Linked DNA regions of Xenopus tropicalis. The protein of the gene in region 1 purifies or fractionates together with the protein of each later gene. This does not show direct contact. Links are inferred from orthologs where the notes say so. Each region holds a gene or a part of one and is shown in the gene's direction. Other genes may lie near its edges.

What was found.
Region 2: the proteins of rnf146 (region 1) and lig3 purify together in Homo sapiens (co-immunoprecipitation; 3 studies listed by BioGRID and IntAct, counting the BioPlex papers as one, with this or other methods). This does not show direct contact. The link is inferred for Xenopus tropicalis from reciprocal best matches to the Homo sapiens genes RNF146 and LIG3.
Region 3: the proteins of rnf146 (region 1) and hltf purify together in Homo sapiens (affinity purification with mass spectrometry; 4 studies listed by BioGRID and IntAct, with this or other methods). This does not show direct contact. The link is inferred for Xenopus tropicalis from reciprocal best matches to the Homo sapiens genes RNF146 and HLTF.
Region 4: the proteins of rnf146 (region 1) and xrcc1 purify together in Homo sapiens (co-immunoprecipitation; 3 studies listed by BioGRID and IntAct, with this or other methods). This does not show direct contact. The link is inferred for Xenopus tropicalis from reciprocal best matches to the Homo sapiens genes RNF146 and XRCC1.

The regions. Positions count from the first base shown.
Region 1 is NC_030681.2:67,900,122-67,904,208, forward strand, and holds the start of rnf146 (E3 ubiquitin-protein ligase rnf146), read left to right. Parts: upstream 1-1,282; 5' UTR 1,283-1,358; intron 1,359-3,029; 5' UTR 3,030-3,030; coding exon 3,031-3,981; 3' UTR 3,982-4,087. UniProt on the Homo sapiens protein: E3 ubiquitin-protein ligase that specifically binds poly-ADP-ribosylated (PARsylated) proteins and mediates their ubiquitination and subsequent degradation. May regulate many important biological processes, such as cell survival and DNA damage response.
Region 2 is NC_030686.2:27,249,227-27,252,739, reverse strand, and holds part of lig3 (DNA ligase 3), read left to right. Parts: coding exon 1-83; intron 84-182; coding exon 183-314; intron 315-514; coding exon 515-594; intron 595-676; coding exon 677-764; intron 765-907; coding exon 908-985; intron 986-1,066; coding exon 1,067-1,190; intron 1,191-1,321; coding exon 1,322-1,464; intron 1,465-2,614; coding exon 2,615-2,689; intron 2,690-3,277; coding exon 3,278-3,424; intron 3,425-3,513. UniProt on the Homo sapiens protein: Isoform 3 functions as a heterodimer with DNA-repair protein XRCC1 in the nucleus and can correct defective DNA strand-break repair and sister chromatid exchange following treatment with ionizing radiation and alkylating agents.
Region 3 is NC_030681.2:122,173,761-122,177,273, reverse strand, and holds part of hltf (helicase-like transcription factor), read left to right. Parts: intron 1-187; coding exon 188-366; intron 367-3,513. UniProt on the Homo sapiens protein: Has both helicase and E3 ubiquitin ligase activities. Possesses intrinsic ATP-dependent nucleosome-remodeling activity; This activity may be required for transcriptional activation or repression of specific target promoters.
Region 4 is NC_030683.2:118,935,106-118,938,618, forward strand, and holds part of xrcc1 (DNA repair protein XRCC1), read left to right. Parts: intron 1-319; coding exon 320-427; intron 428-904; coding exon 905-1,063; intron 1,064-1,351; coding exon 1,352-1,426; intron 1,427-1,903; coding exon 1,904-2,021; intron 2,022-2,688; coding exon 2,689-2,801; intron 2,802-3,260; coding exon 3,261-3,399; intron 3,400-3,513. UniProt on the Homo sapiens protein: Scaffold protein involved in DNA single-strand break repair by mediating the assembly of DNA break repair protein complexes. Negatively regulates ADP-ribosyltransferase activity of PARP1 during base-excision repair in order to prevent excessive PARP1 activity.

The DNA.
Region 1 (4,087 bases):
TACTGACATTAGATTACACACAGGTGCACTCTATTTAGTCATTAGCACTCATCAGGCAATGTCTATGGGCAACTGACTGCACTCAGACCAAAGGGGGCTGAATAATTACGCACACCCCACTTTGCACTTATTTATTTGTAAAAAATGTTTGGAATCATGTATGATTTTCGTTCCACTTCTCACGTGTACACCACTTTGTATTGGTCTTTCACGTGGAATTCCAATAAAACTGATTCATGTTTGTGGCTGTAATGTGACAAAATGTGGAAATGTTCAAGGGGGCCGAATACTTTTGCAAGCCACTGTAGAACCTGTGCACTTTGGAGTTAGGACCAGAGTAAAAGATTACTTTAGGATATTTTAAGTCTTCTGAATGTCACTGTTGTCACTAAATTGTAAAAATATAAACTAAAGATTACTGTTGGCAATTCAAAAAATGGCCACAGGATCCTCTTATGTAAAAAAAAAAAAAAAGCCTAAAAACTTGTGAAAAGTCTTGCATTAGTTTACGAAAAAATAAAACCTGGAAAACTGACACCACCGTGAACAAATGAGCCTAAAACGTAAAGATTACTGCTGCTCTATTTCACCCAATGTCTTCTCCTAAATAACCAGTTTTGTCCCTAAATTGTAATTGTTGCCCTTACTTAAAAAAAAACTAAACAAAAAAAAAACAAAACATTGGGACCTTCACCTGGCCCTAGTTTAAAAAAAAAAAAAAAAAAAAGACCCTTTCATTGCTAGTCAAATTGAAGAGGCACTGATGGCAGCATGTTTGATAAGAAATTATTTTTCTTTGTTACCAGGTTCATTAAAGCAGAGCCAAAAAAAACCGTTTTAGGTAAAACAAAGACTTTGCAACACAATATCCACCTAAAAAATAAAACAGAAGCCGTGAAAAGAATAAAATCATTTGTCAACCCAGCAAATAGGGTTTGTTCACTGACACAAGTGTAAGTTCTAATAAGAAAAAACAAATACTTAGTTGTGCCTAAATATAGGCAGCATGCATAGTAGGCTACCACCACGAAATGACTCTTTCTTTCTATAACTGCGAAAACTACTAGCTGTGAAGCAAACGTTTGCAAACACGCTTCCTTGTATTACTAGCGCCTTATAATTGTGAAACAAGGAAGTAAGTTGTCACCCCTCTACGTGCCGCGTCACTGCGCTTATATACGTGTGGTAGTGACGCCACAGTCTCGCGAGATGACAATTTTGACGTCGGGATTAGCTTTCCGGCAGGAGCCAAGGAGCTGGATATTAATGGCGTTGTTGGACGATTAAACGGCAATCTGGTTCTGCGGGCTGTGTTAAAAATATCGAGAGCGTCCCGCGAGAAGCGGGACTGTTGGGCGGTATGTCAGGTTGCGCTTTTACTTCTAAATTATTTATTCGAAGTTCTCATTCCCATTGAATTTAGGCCGAGTGTATTGTGATTTCTCAGAAGCTTGCATTTCTTCACTGTAGGGTGTCTGGCACAAATACCTAAGGCCTCATAAAAAATGCATGTTTTATTGTATGTACAGCGCTTTCCAAAAGGGGTGAGCCTTTAGAGCGATCTTAAGACACTGAGCTTCTTAAATATTTCAATTAAACAAGTGAACGTATCATTTTCCCCATATAGTGCTAAAGAGAGGGGCGAAACCACAGCTGCTTTATACAGCTCAAATGCTCTCTTCTTTTTATTACTTTATAGAGTATATACTGTATTAAACCTTGACTTTTTGCAATACGGAAAATTGAACATGGGCTTCATGTCAAGAAGAAACATTCTATACTGTATTAAATTGTGTTCCAAATAATCATGTCTCATCTGCATCTAGTTAAAGGGATACTGTCATGAATTTTATGTTGTACTTTTTATTACCAAATTACACTGTTTACATAAAATATAATTCAATTCACCATTTAAAATTGTATTCTTGAACCAACAAATGTATCTTTTTTTAGTTGTAATATTGGTGTATAGGCAGCCATCTTAGTGCATTGTGCCTGATTCTGAGCTTTCAGAAAGACCCAGTGCTACACATTAGAACTGCTTTCAGATAACCTACTCCCATGTAACTGGAGGAGTCCCAAGCCGGACGTAGATTTCTTACTATTGAGTGCTATTCTGATATATACTGGCAGCTGCTATCTTGCTGCCTTCCCATTGTTCTGCTGATCGGCTGCTGGGGGGGGGGGTGATATCACTCCAGCTTGCAGCTCAGCAGTAAAGTGTGACTGAAGTTTATCAGAGCACAGGTCACATTGCTGTAGCACCCTGGGAAATGAAGAATATGGATAGAACCATGTGAAATTTCAAAATTAAATATAAAAAAATCTTTTTTTGAAAAAGTGATTTCAATGCAGGATTCTGCTGGAGAAACCCCGTTAACTGATGCGTTTTGAAAAAAACATGTTTTCTCATGACAGTATTCCTTTAACCCCCCTCACCTCTACCAAACACACACACAAATCACATTTTTTTTTTTCATTCAATTAAAATACTTTAATAAAGCTCCCCCAAAAAGGCTAACTTGAAAAGATGCTTTTTGAGTTCCCATTCATCTACTATGATCTACTGCTAGTTTAAGGAATTTAAGTTTCAGGGCACAGCAGTTACTTTGGGGTGTATTGCAGCTGTTTCTGAGAGAGATTCCATAAAATATCCTAAGTATATAAATTTCCAGTGGGTGGCTGGCTGGCTTCTGAAAAGCCCTGCTGAACTTTTTCTCCTGTTCAATAACAATAGAACTCTAACTTTATGTCTTCCAAGGGACTGTCAAAGTGGCGCAAATGGTTTAACATGGAAAAAATGGTATCAATTCCAGGAAAACATAAAATCGAGGTTCTATTTCTCATCTGGATATAGCACCTGAGAAATGGAACTGAAATAAAGATCTGTAAACAATAATAACACCTATGCTGCCAGTTTTTCTTCTGTTCATCCGTTTTTAAACTGGAACAATTCAATTGTTTATCATAGACTGGTTTTCAGTTTCTCTAATCAACCTCATAAAACCTTTTAATTTTTTTACCAACAGGATGGCTGGTTGTGGTGAAGTTAGCCACTCTGCTAACATGCTGCCCACTAATAAGAAACTGGTTGAGCCTTGTCCCAACAGTGCTCCTTCATTGTCTGTTCCTGAATGTGCTATATGCCTGCAGACCTGTGTGCATCCAGTTAGTCTACCTTGTAAACACATATTCTGCTACTTGTGTGTGAAGGGGGCTTCTTGGCTTGGAAGGCGTTGTGCTTTGTGCAGACAAGAGATTCCTGAGGACTTTCTTGATAAGCCTACATTACTGTCACCTGAGGAACTGAAATCTGCAAGTAGGGGAAATGGAGAATATGCATGGTATTATGAGGGAAGAAATGGTTGGTGGCAGTATGATGAGCGGACAAGCAGAGAGCTTGAAGATGCCTTCACAAAAGGCAAAAAGAGCACAGAGATGTTGATAGCTGGCTTCCTCTATGTAGCAGACTTGGAGAACATGGTTCAATACAGGCGTAATGAGCATGGACGGCGTAGAAAAATCAAGAGAGATATTGTAGATATACCAAAAAAAGGAGTTGCTGGGCTAAGGCTTGAATGTGATGCAGCAAATGTAAATCTAGCGCGAGAGAGCTCAGCAGATGGTGCGGACAACATGGCAGCACTTGGAGCTTCTTCAAGTCAACCTACACCTGTGTTACCAACAAGGCTGCACACATCCCTCAGTACAACTGCAAGTCATGCCCTTTCACATTCTGATGTTACTTCTTCATTGGAGAACTCCTTTGCTCAGCTTCAGATTGGCGATCCTGTGATAGGCAGGAATAATATAGGTGAAGGTGAAGAAGGACAGCCTCTAATTAACGCTAGAATGCCAGCCCCCAGTGCTTTGCTGGAAGAATCAGAGCCAAGTGACAGTAATGACCATGGAAGTCCTACATTACAACATAATTCACTTCTTGTGCCACAAAGTAATAGGCTCCCATTTGGTAATCCCTGATTGTACCCCACCTGCATAGGCACAAAGTACCAGTGTAAGGTCTAAAAGACCTGATGGACAGTGCACAGTCACAGAAGTCTAAAGCAGTCAGCCAGAGAAAGAAGAG
Region 2 (3,513 bases), on another chromosome or scaffold:
ATGGTGAAAGAGTCCAAGTACATAAGAATGGAGATCACTTCAGCTACTTCAGCCGCAGTCTGAAGCCAGTGCTGCCCCATAAGGTCATTTTTTTTATAATGTACTATTTGTATCATTTGTGTTTAGCAACCTTATTTGTTGTGTTTAGATACATGGTTACAACTTTTTTTTTTTTTTTACAGGTTGCTCATTTTAAGGATTTTATACCTAAAGCATTTCCAGGAGGAAACAGTATGATCCTGGATGCAGAAGTTCTTCTTATAGATACCAATACTGGCAAGCCACTTCCATTTGGCACATTAGGTGTTCATAAGGTATATATGATTTTTAATGTCTAATGTCTTTAAGGAACCAGTTGATCTAGACTAGAGTATAAACACTTCAGATTTTTTGCACTGGGTTCTGATTATAACCTGGCATTTCTAAGGCTTTGCAGCTGCAGGAATATAGATACATTTTCTTTGTGTTCCTATTTTACCTGGAATAATATATTTTAATTTAATTTCCTTCACAGAAAGCTGCTTTCAAAGATGCCAATGTGTGCTTGTTTGTTTTCGATTGCATTTACTTCAATGGAGTGAGCTTAATGGATCGGTGAGCATATTCAGATCAAGACTGTATTTTATAAAATGAAAGATGTTTCTTTGAGCTGCTTACCAATAACCACTTTTTGCAGGCCACTTAGTGAGCGCCGAAAGTTTATGCGGGATAACATGGTTGAAATCCCTAATCACATTCTGTTCTCTGAGATGAAACATGTCACAGTAAGTACTGTCACAGGCATAAAACCTTGCTCAAATCCTTGATCAAACTGTAATTCATTCCTGGTTGTACCTGCAACCTATTCCACATCTGCTCGTCCTTTAGTATTTTTTGTTATTGTAACTAAAACCTGTTTATATTGCAGAAAGCTTCTGATCTGGCTGACATGATCACCCGTGTTATCCGTGAGGGATTGGAGGGTCTGGTATTAAAGGACTTAAAGGTAATTTAAGTTAGATAAAGAGCATCTTCCTAATTGCATCTATATGAGATTCCGCAGTCAATTTTTTCTTGTTCACACCAGAGTAATTATGAGCCAGGGAAACGTCATTGGCTTAAAGTAAAGAAGGATTACTTGAATGAAGGTGCAATGGCAGACACCGCTGACTTGGCAGTTTTGGGAGCTTATTATGGAAAGGGAGCAAATGGTAAATGTAGCTGCCCTTATTTTTTCAAAAGTAAATTTTATCTATTATAAATAACTTTTTGGCTATATTCAGCACAGTACTTTAAGGAGAAATAATTCAAGGTTTTTATTTAATTATTAAACATTTTATAGGGGGTATAATGTCCATCTTTCTCATGGGTTGCTATGATCCTGAAAGTCAGAAGTGGTGCACTGTGACAAAATGTTCAAGTGGTTATGATGATGCTACTCTGCAACGCCTTCAGAAGGAGCTTAACATGGTCAAAATCAGCAAGGTTAGTCTTGTCTTGTGGATGATTGCATTGCGAGTCTGATTTAATTTTCCCTGCTTCGGGTTTTTTTTTTCCTTCTTAAGCCTTATACTCTGTAATGAAAAGGTGGGAATAAAAGGGCATTGATGACTGTGTTGTATGGCACCATTATGACCCTGAAAATAAATCAGGACTGTATGGTATAAGCTTTATTCATTGTGTATGGGTAATAAGCACACTTTTTTTCTGCCTGCAGTTAGATGGTGCCTCTATACAAGGCACATTATCTACACTAGGTGCTACTACAACCCCCAATTTTATTGAATGGCCTAAGTTATATATTTTTTTTTTAGTTTGCCATTTACTCTCTTATACTCTCAGTATGCAGTATATTATTATTATTATATATATTATACTGTCCTGTTTTGGAGCCCTTGCTTCCTGTTGATAATATCTGGGATAGAACTAGATCTGTGATAAACATTGCAACCAATGACTTCTAATTCAAACTATTGATAAAATGGTATATGACCCGTCAAAGAAAACAAAAAATAGACTTAACTTCCTCTCTCTGTTGTAGTATATGCTCATATACTGACTCTTTGATACATAACTGGTGGTTTTGTCCCATAGCTAAAGAATTCTGGATAAAAATTATTAATCTTTTAAAACGGATCTTAATTTACAATACAATATTTCAAATTCACCTCTTCATCAAATTTTTAAATTAGCCATTAAAGGCTTAAACAAGGCAGGTAATATTCTCTAAAGACATGTTTTTTTCTGTGACCAAATGGACTTTTGGCCTCACTTTGGCTTAGGGATAGCCTTGAGTTTAAGCTTGGTTTAACCAAAATCCAAAAGATTCACTATGTAAAAGATGACTGGATCTGTAGAGGACACTATAGCTACATTTATGGATTCTATATTCTGAGCGCTTATGGTAATTCAGCATTTTTGTTGTTGTTGCCCCATAAAGGATTCTTTTAGTTTCTTCTTTTCCCTAATATGTTTTTAATGTGATGCACTATGCATATGGAAATATGAAAAATGTATTTAGTATTTTTCATTTATCTTTATATCTATATTTTTAAAAGCATAACTTATGTGGAAAACGTATATACAATGTAAAACCATGTACATGATGTGATGCCTTCCTTTCTTTTGTTAACAGGATCCATCTAAGATTCCATCATGGCTTAAAATCAACAAGAACTATTTCCCAGATTTCATTATACATGATCCCAAGGTAGTATTTGCAAGGGGTAAAATAATTAAACAGCTTTGTAGCTGAATATTCTGTTGCAATTTTAAATTTCACCTTTAAGTTATCTTTTACTGTGTTGTACTTTTGAAACTTTTTAATTAGCCTTCATTTTTTTTATTGTTTTTGAATGATTTTCTGCCTGCTGCCTCTTTCCAGCTTTTCAGTGTCTGTTCAATGAAAGTTAATTTAAAGGTGAACTACTGCCTAAATGGTTTTGTGGTAATTGTGACAATGTCAGTTTGGTAGCTCGGTGAGCCATTAAATGTATTCACTCACTATGCTTAAACATTCTGTGGAGATGAGATGGCAAGTAGGTGTCCTAATATTTGACCAGTCTGCCCACTGCAGAGTCCTATCTAATTATATCATGAATTAATTGTGTGCAGCAAACTAGCTCATATGCATCTTTTAGCCTTATGAATGTCTATTTTTAACCTGGAAAGCAAACTTATTGATACCTACTATGTATAGCAGCTGTAATTTTTCATAGGTTCTCCTGCAAATCAGCATTCTTTAATATATTCGTGCATGAGACAAGATACTAAACTCATTCCTGATTTTTCACCATAGAAAGCTCCCATTTGGGAAATTACAGGTGCAGAGTACTCAAAGGCAGAGGCTCATACAGCTGCTGGGTTATCCATTCGCTTCCCACGCTGCACACGTTTCCGTGATGATAAGGACTGGAAAACAGCCACTACACTCCAACAGCTAAAGGTACGAATGCGTGGCAACCTTTTTGCTATTCCAAAGCACTGAACGCCATCAGCTGGACACGACAATTCTGGTGCACAAAAGATTGCAAT
Region 3 (3,513 bases), about 54 Mb from region 1:
AGCTTGTAGCAACCTGAAATAGTTACATTATAGGGTTCCAGATGATTCTTATGATTATTCTAAGCATTCTTCTATAAGAATTGCAGTGCAGAGTTACTCCTACAGAATAACTGTGATGTGTTGCTGCATTGCTTTTGCTTTGTACCCAAGGCATCACATTGTCATGTGTTTCCTTGCAAATCCCCAGCTGACTCCACTCCAGGAGATGTGCGTGAGAAGCTCGTTCAGAAGATAAAGCTGGTTTTGAGCTCCGGCTCAGATGAGGAATGCGCCATATGTTTGGATTCTTTAAACATGCCAGTTATTACTTACTGTGCTCATGTATTCTGCAAACCTTGTATCTGTCAGGTTATCCAGCATGAAAAGGTTAGTGATATGTGACCACGGATGTTTAACTAGGTGTTGGGAGTCAACTAAGAGCCGCAATTCTTCGTTCTATGGCAATTGTTTTATTTGTTATAAGCTTTAAGTGGTTAAAAGCAACCATTTGCACAACACTGCAGTTATGATATTGAGGGATATAACAGGTCTGATTCTGTTGGTTGATGGCTTCTTTTGATAGATTTGAGATTCCATCAGCTGGCCAGTGTCTTCCAAACTCCTCTGTTGCATTCAGTATTTAGATCTGTGGGCTAAGTAGTTAAAGGTATAAAATATGTATCTGTGCTATGTTTATGGTTATTAGGCTTAAATTAAATGCTAATACAGGTATGGGACCAGTCTCCCCGTGTGCCAGAGCCCTTAAAGGTGTCCTTACGTGTTAAGATCTGCTTATTTGATGAGCAGATTGTCTCCCAATATACCTACCTAAGGTGGGCGATATTGGGCTTATTTGATCGTTTGGCCCTAGGGCCAAACAATCAAATTCAAAGGATGGGTATGGGAGCCGTCGGACCCAGCATCAATGAGCCAGTGCAGTCCCCACTCTGATGAGAAAATCAAGCCTGTCTGATCAATAATTGACCGATTTTCTGCCAGATATCAATCATGCAGGCCCGTCGGAAGGCCCCATACATGGGCAGTTAAGCAGCCAAATTGGTCTAAAGGACTCAAATTAACATGTTTATCTAGTCTACTATAAAATTATTTTAACATTAAAGGGGTGGTTCACCGTTAAGCATGCTATAGAATTGCCTATTTTAAGCAACTTGGTTGGTTAAGCAAATTGGTCTGCATTATTTATGTCTTATTTAATTGCTTATAATGGGGTCTATGGGAGATGGCCTTTCCGTAATTCAGAACTTTCTGGATTACTGGTTTCTGGATAATGGTCCCATGACTGTACCAAAAACTCTCTATGGAGAAAGATAACCCTTAATTAAGTTTGAATAAAAAGCATAGCCCTAGATCAGGGATCCCCAACCTTTCTTACTCGTGAGCCACAGTCAAATGTAAAAAGACTTGTAGAGCAACACAAGCATCATACAAGTTTATGGAGGAGCCAAATGAGGGCTAAGATTGGCTATTAGGCAGCCTCTATGCACACCATCAGCTTACAGGGGGCTTTATTTGGTAGTAAATCTTGTTTTTATTCAACCAAAACTTGCCAACAAGTCAGGAATTCAAAAATAACTACCTGGTTTGGGGGCACTGAGAGCAACATCGAAGGGGTTGGTAAGCAACATGTAGCTCACGAGCCACTGGTTGGGGATCCCTGATCTAGATCTTCACACAGAGTACAATAGGGTTTTCATGAGATGAATAAAAAGTTTCCCCCTTCAACTACACTGACCTGGGACACGTGTCAGGCAGGATCAGATTGAAATTTGGAGCGTCATTGTGGGTTGCGTGCCATTCAGACTGGGGTGCAGAAGTACTGAATGGAGCAAGAAGATGCAGGTAGGGGTTGGGTGCAGGAACTACAATGGCAGTATTTTGCAGCTTTGCGTCGGGTGCTATTTGAGTTTTGTTTTTGTTTAACCCCACATTACTACTAGACATTTTTGAGGCTCATATACAGTGGAGGAAATAATTATTTGACCCCTCACTGATTTTGTAAGTTTGTCCAATGACAAAGAAATGAAAAGTCTCAGAACAGTATCATTTCAATGGTAGGTTTATTTTAACAGTGGCAGATAGCACATCTAAAGGAAAATCGAAAAAATAACTTTAAATAAAAGATAGCAACTGATTTGCATTTCATTGAGTGAAATAAGTTTTTGAACCCTCTAACAAAAAACAGAGGTCAAACGTTTCTTGTAATTGATGACCAAGTTTGCGCACATTTTAGGAGGAATGTTGGTCCACTCCTCTTTGCAGATCATCTCTAAATCCCTAAGGTTTCGAGGCTGTCTCTGTGCAACTCTGAGCTTGAGCTCCCTCCATAGGTTTTCTATTGGATTAAGGTCCGGAGACTGACTAGGCCACTCCATGACCTTAATGTGCTTCTTCTTGAGCCACTCCTTTGTTGCCTTTGCTGTATGTTTTGGGTCATTGTCGTGCTGGAACACCCATCCACGACCCATTTTCAGTTTCCTGGCAGAGGGAAGGAGGTTGTCGTTCAGGATTTCACGATACATGGCTCCGTCCATTTTCCCGTTAATGCGAATAAGTTGTCCTGTGCCCTTAGCAGAAAAACACCCCCAAAGCAAAATGGTTCCACCCCCATGCTTGACGGTGGGGACGGTGTTTTGGGGGTCATAGGCAGCATTTTTCTTCCTCCAAACACAGCGAGTTGAGTTAATGCCAAAGAGCTCTATTTTGGTCTCATCAGACCACAGCACCTTCTCCCAGTCACTCACAGAATCATTCAGGTGTTCATTGGCAAACTTCAGACGGGCCTGCACATGTGCCTTCTTGAGCAGGGGGACCTTGCGAGCCCTGCAGGATTTTAATCCATTGCGGTGTAATGTGTTTCCAATGGTTTTCTTGGTGACTGTGGTCCCTGCTAATTTGAGGTCATTAACTAACTCCTCCCGTGTAGTTCTAGGATGCTTTTTCACCTTTCTCAGAATCATTGACACCCCACGAGGTGAGATCTTGCGTGGAGCCCCAGAGCGAGGTCGATTGATGGTCATTTTGTGCTCCTTCCATTTTCGAACAATCGCACCAACAGTTGTCACCTTCTCTCCCAGCTTCTTGCTAATGGTTTTGTAGCCCATTCCAGCCTTGTGCAGGTCTACAATTTTGTCTCTGACATCCTTGGACAGCTCTTTGGTCTTTCCCATGTTGGAGAGTTTGGAGTCTGCTTGATTGATTGATTCTGTGGACAGGTGTCTTTTATACAGGTGACTAGTTAAGACAGGTGACCTTAATGAGGTTGACTAATTGAGTAGAAGTGTCTAACCACTCTGTGGGAGCCAGAACTCTTAATGGTTGGTAGGGGTTCAAAAACTTATTTCACTCAATGAAATGCAAATCAGTTGCTATCTTTTATTTAAAGTTATTTTTTCGATTTTCCTTTTGATGTGCTATCTGCCACTGTTAAAATAAACCTACCATTGAAATGATACTGTTCTGAGACTTTTCATTTCTTTGTCATTGGACAAACTTACAAAATCAGTGAGGGGTCAA
Region 4 (3,513 bases), on another chromosome or scaffold:
TTGTATGTTCTCACTGCATGGGTTTCATCTGGGTACGTCGGTTTCCTCCCACACTTTAAAAACATACAGGCACGTTAATTGGCTTCTGATTAAACTGACCATAGTGTGTGTGAATGTGATAGGGACCCTAGATTGTAAGATCTGGGGCAGGGACTGATGAATAATCTCTGTAAAAGCGCTGCGGAAATGTAGCTGCACTATATAAATAACAGCAATAAATGAAATAAAAAATAATTACTGCTCTAATTTCATGCCGTGTGTGCCTATACGTGCATGGGTACTGACCTCAGCTTACTCTGGTGCCTTTGATTTTCTGCAGTTTGAAAAGGAGGAGCAGGTCCACAGCATTGATATTGGCAATGAAGGTTCTGCGTTTGTGGAAGTGCTGGTCGGACACTCCACTTCAATCAGCGAGCAGGAATATGAGGTATGGCAGGTACCTATAGTGCCATATGCAGTGGTTGGGATGATTGTTTATTAAAGTAAAAAAGATTACCATTAATATGGAGGCAGAAAAAGCACAGGCTATAGCGAGAGCATCCTATGTCTGTAAAGCTCCCTAAACATTTAGCAAACGGAAATGGCATTTAAGTTGGTCGTGCTCCTTGAGGATGGGGGTGCTGCTGGTTAAGGAGAACTCTGGACACCATCAACTACCCAGGGCCAATCTCATACTTAGGGATAGTGTGGTAAATACAATACCGTGTCCTCAGCGCTTTGTGATTAATGATATAGAGTCAGTGAAGAAAGTGACGAAAACTCTGTGTGTTCCTGCTTAGGGATAGTTTGCTATAGCATTTTACTCTCCAGAGCTCACAGAATGTAAATGCAGATAGCAAGTTAGTACAGTTGTGAGGAATACAGACCTGATGTGCCAATTCCCATCTTGCTTGTCTCTGCATAGGTCCTCCTGGGAATGTCATCGTTCATGTCTCCTAGCGAGAGCAAGAATGAAAGCAACCTGAATCGGCTGCGAATGTTCGGACCAGACAAGCTCGTGAAAGGAGCAGCTGAAAAGAAATGGGATCGGGTGAAGATTGTGTGCACCCAACCCTACACTAAGGTGTGCAGTGTCTGCTTACAGAGCGGAGAGCTTTGTGGGATATATAATTAACAAACAGAATGTAGATACAATTAGTATTTGTTGTGATGTGTGGGTCGAGGTCAGGTAAGTTAGAGTTGAAATTTGGGCGACCGTTGTGGGTTCAGGTTGGGTGCGGATCAGGCATGAGAAGTACACTTTTCCTTTGCTGAAGTGTGGTAATTTCTGTGGAGTTTGTTGGCAAGCCTTTAGTATATAGCTGGATGCACGTTTTTCTATAAACCATTTCATGTTCTCTTGTCTCATTAGAACCTTGCTTATGGTATTTCATTCATACGTCTGAACTCCCCTCCAGAGGATGGCTCGCCCACCGCTCCCTCACCGGTATGCATTCTACCTGTGCTTGCTTGACTGATACATAAGCAAATACAAGGGGTTCTACATAAGGAACAATTCATTATCTGTGATATAGGGGACCATAAATATTTCTTTGCTCATGCCCTTTTTAATCCCGTCTTCATTTAATCACTTACCTAATAGCAAAGGTTACTAACATGTAAAACTTTATATCATTCATAGGTTGTAGTTCCAGTGATATCTAAGACTGCAAATCAGCACTTATCCCAGAACTTGTGGTTGGCCCAAGGCAACCACAGCCCTTTAGCAGGGAAGATCTGTGCCCCCAAAGATGCCCCAGTAGCCCCCCCCATATCTTCTTTTCTGCTGGTTCCCTGCACATTCAGCTCTGTCTCATCAGCTTACATGACAGGCTGACCTAATTTTGAACAGTGCCGGTTTAGGAAAGTTCACCTTGTGTTTATGCTGCCATGGATTATAAATCATTACTATGCTCTTCTGCAGAAAGTGACCAAACTTGGGCAGTTTATGGTAAAGGAAGAAGAGAACTCATCTCCTTCTATGCGTCCCGGGAGTCTGTTTTTCAGCCGCACCAGCAAGCCGCAGGTTACTCCTCCGAAAAGTAAGCTATTCTGCACATATCCCTTGTAATTCCCTCTATTAGTTATTTTCTGAAATGTGTGAGTGCCCCTGAAACTTGTACAGAAACTGTGTGCATTGCATTACCTACGCTATTAGGTACATTGCAGGTACAGTAACTCTTGAGTCATAGGGTTACTTTACTTCATGGCTTGTACTGCAACCATATGGCAAAACAGCTATAAAGGGGTTGTTTACCTTTTGAGTTAACTTTTACTATGATGTAGAGAGTGATATTCTGAGATATTTTGCAATTGGTCTTCATTTTTTATTATTTTCAGTTCAGGAGCTCTCCAGCCTGGAGTTTCAGTAGTTATTTGGTTGTTAGGGTCAGAGTTACCTTAGCAACCAGGGCGTGGTTTGAATGAGAAACTGATATATGAATAGGAAAGGGACTGAATAGAAAATAAAGTAACAATAACAATAATACTGTAGCCTAACAGAGCAATTGATTTCTGGCTGCCGGATCAGTGACCCCCTTTTCAAAACTCCATAGAGAAGGTGGCAAGTTATTCAAAACACATAAATAATGAAGGGCAATTGAAAAGTTGCTTAGAATTGACCATTCTATAACATACTAAGAGTTTTTAAATTCTCCCTCCAACACTATTCCCTTTATACTGCCACTTAGCTATTGTGTTCTTTTACAGCTCCACCAGCCACACAAAGCTATGCGTCTGCGACATTACAGGGCACAGGAGAGGCCAGCTCCAGCACTGAAAAACAGACTGTTAAAACCCCACCAAGTAATAACATCCCAAAGGTGAGTAAGTTGGGTGTGGGCATGGATACACCGACCGCCTCTGTCTCCTCTATCAGCATAGGGTATACCTATCATACCCATGTATGCGCTACAGATGTTCCAAATGTGGCAGCTTTATTGTCAGCTGTGTCCCAGAGATGTTACACCATGTCCCTTTGGGCACTAACCCATAACCCTTGCTGGCTACGTATAGGGGGATTGAGACTACAGAAAGTCTTCTAGAGCTTAAAAAGGAAGGTTGTGGTCAGACAGCAAGAAATAATGTATTTTTACTGAGGGTCAAGTTGGAAAGATGAGTTGGTAACGGCAGCATAGGAGCTTATGGACAAAAGTAAGAGGGGAAATATATTTGTCTCAATGTTTTCATTAAACAAATACAAAGAATTGGTCCCCTTTAACATCCAAAGACCAATGCCAGTGAAGTTCTAGTTTGTTCTGAGCAGTTGCTGTTCTCTCTAGGAACCGTCATCTGGTAAACGGAAGTTTGAGTTCAGTAAAGAACCCTCAAGCCACTCGGCAGTCAAGAAACACGAAGTCAATAAGTCCCCATCTTCCGCCAAAGAGAGCACATCACAGCCAGCACCCAAAAAGCCAAAAGGTAAAAAAAATTTTTTTTTTCCTTCACTTGGATGACACCTTGAGGCTGGGACACAGTAGCAGCGTACCTGTCACGTGATTTCTGTGAGCCTTGAGATTTAATTCCACGTCTGGG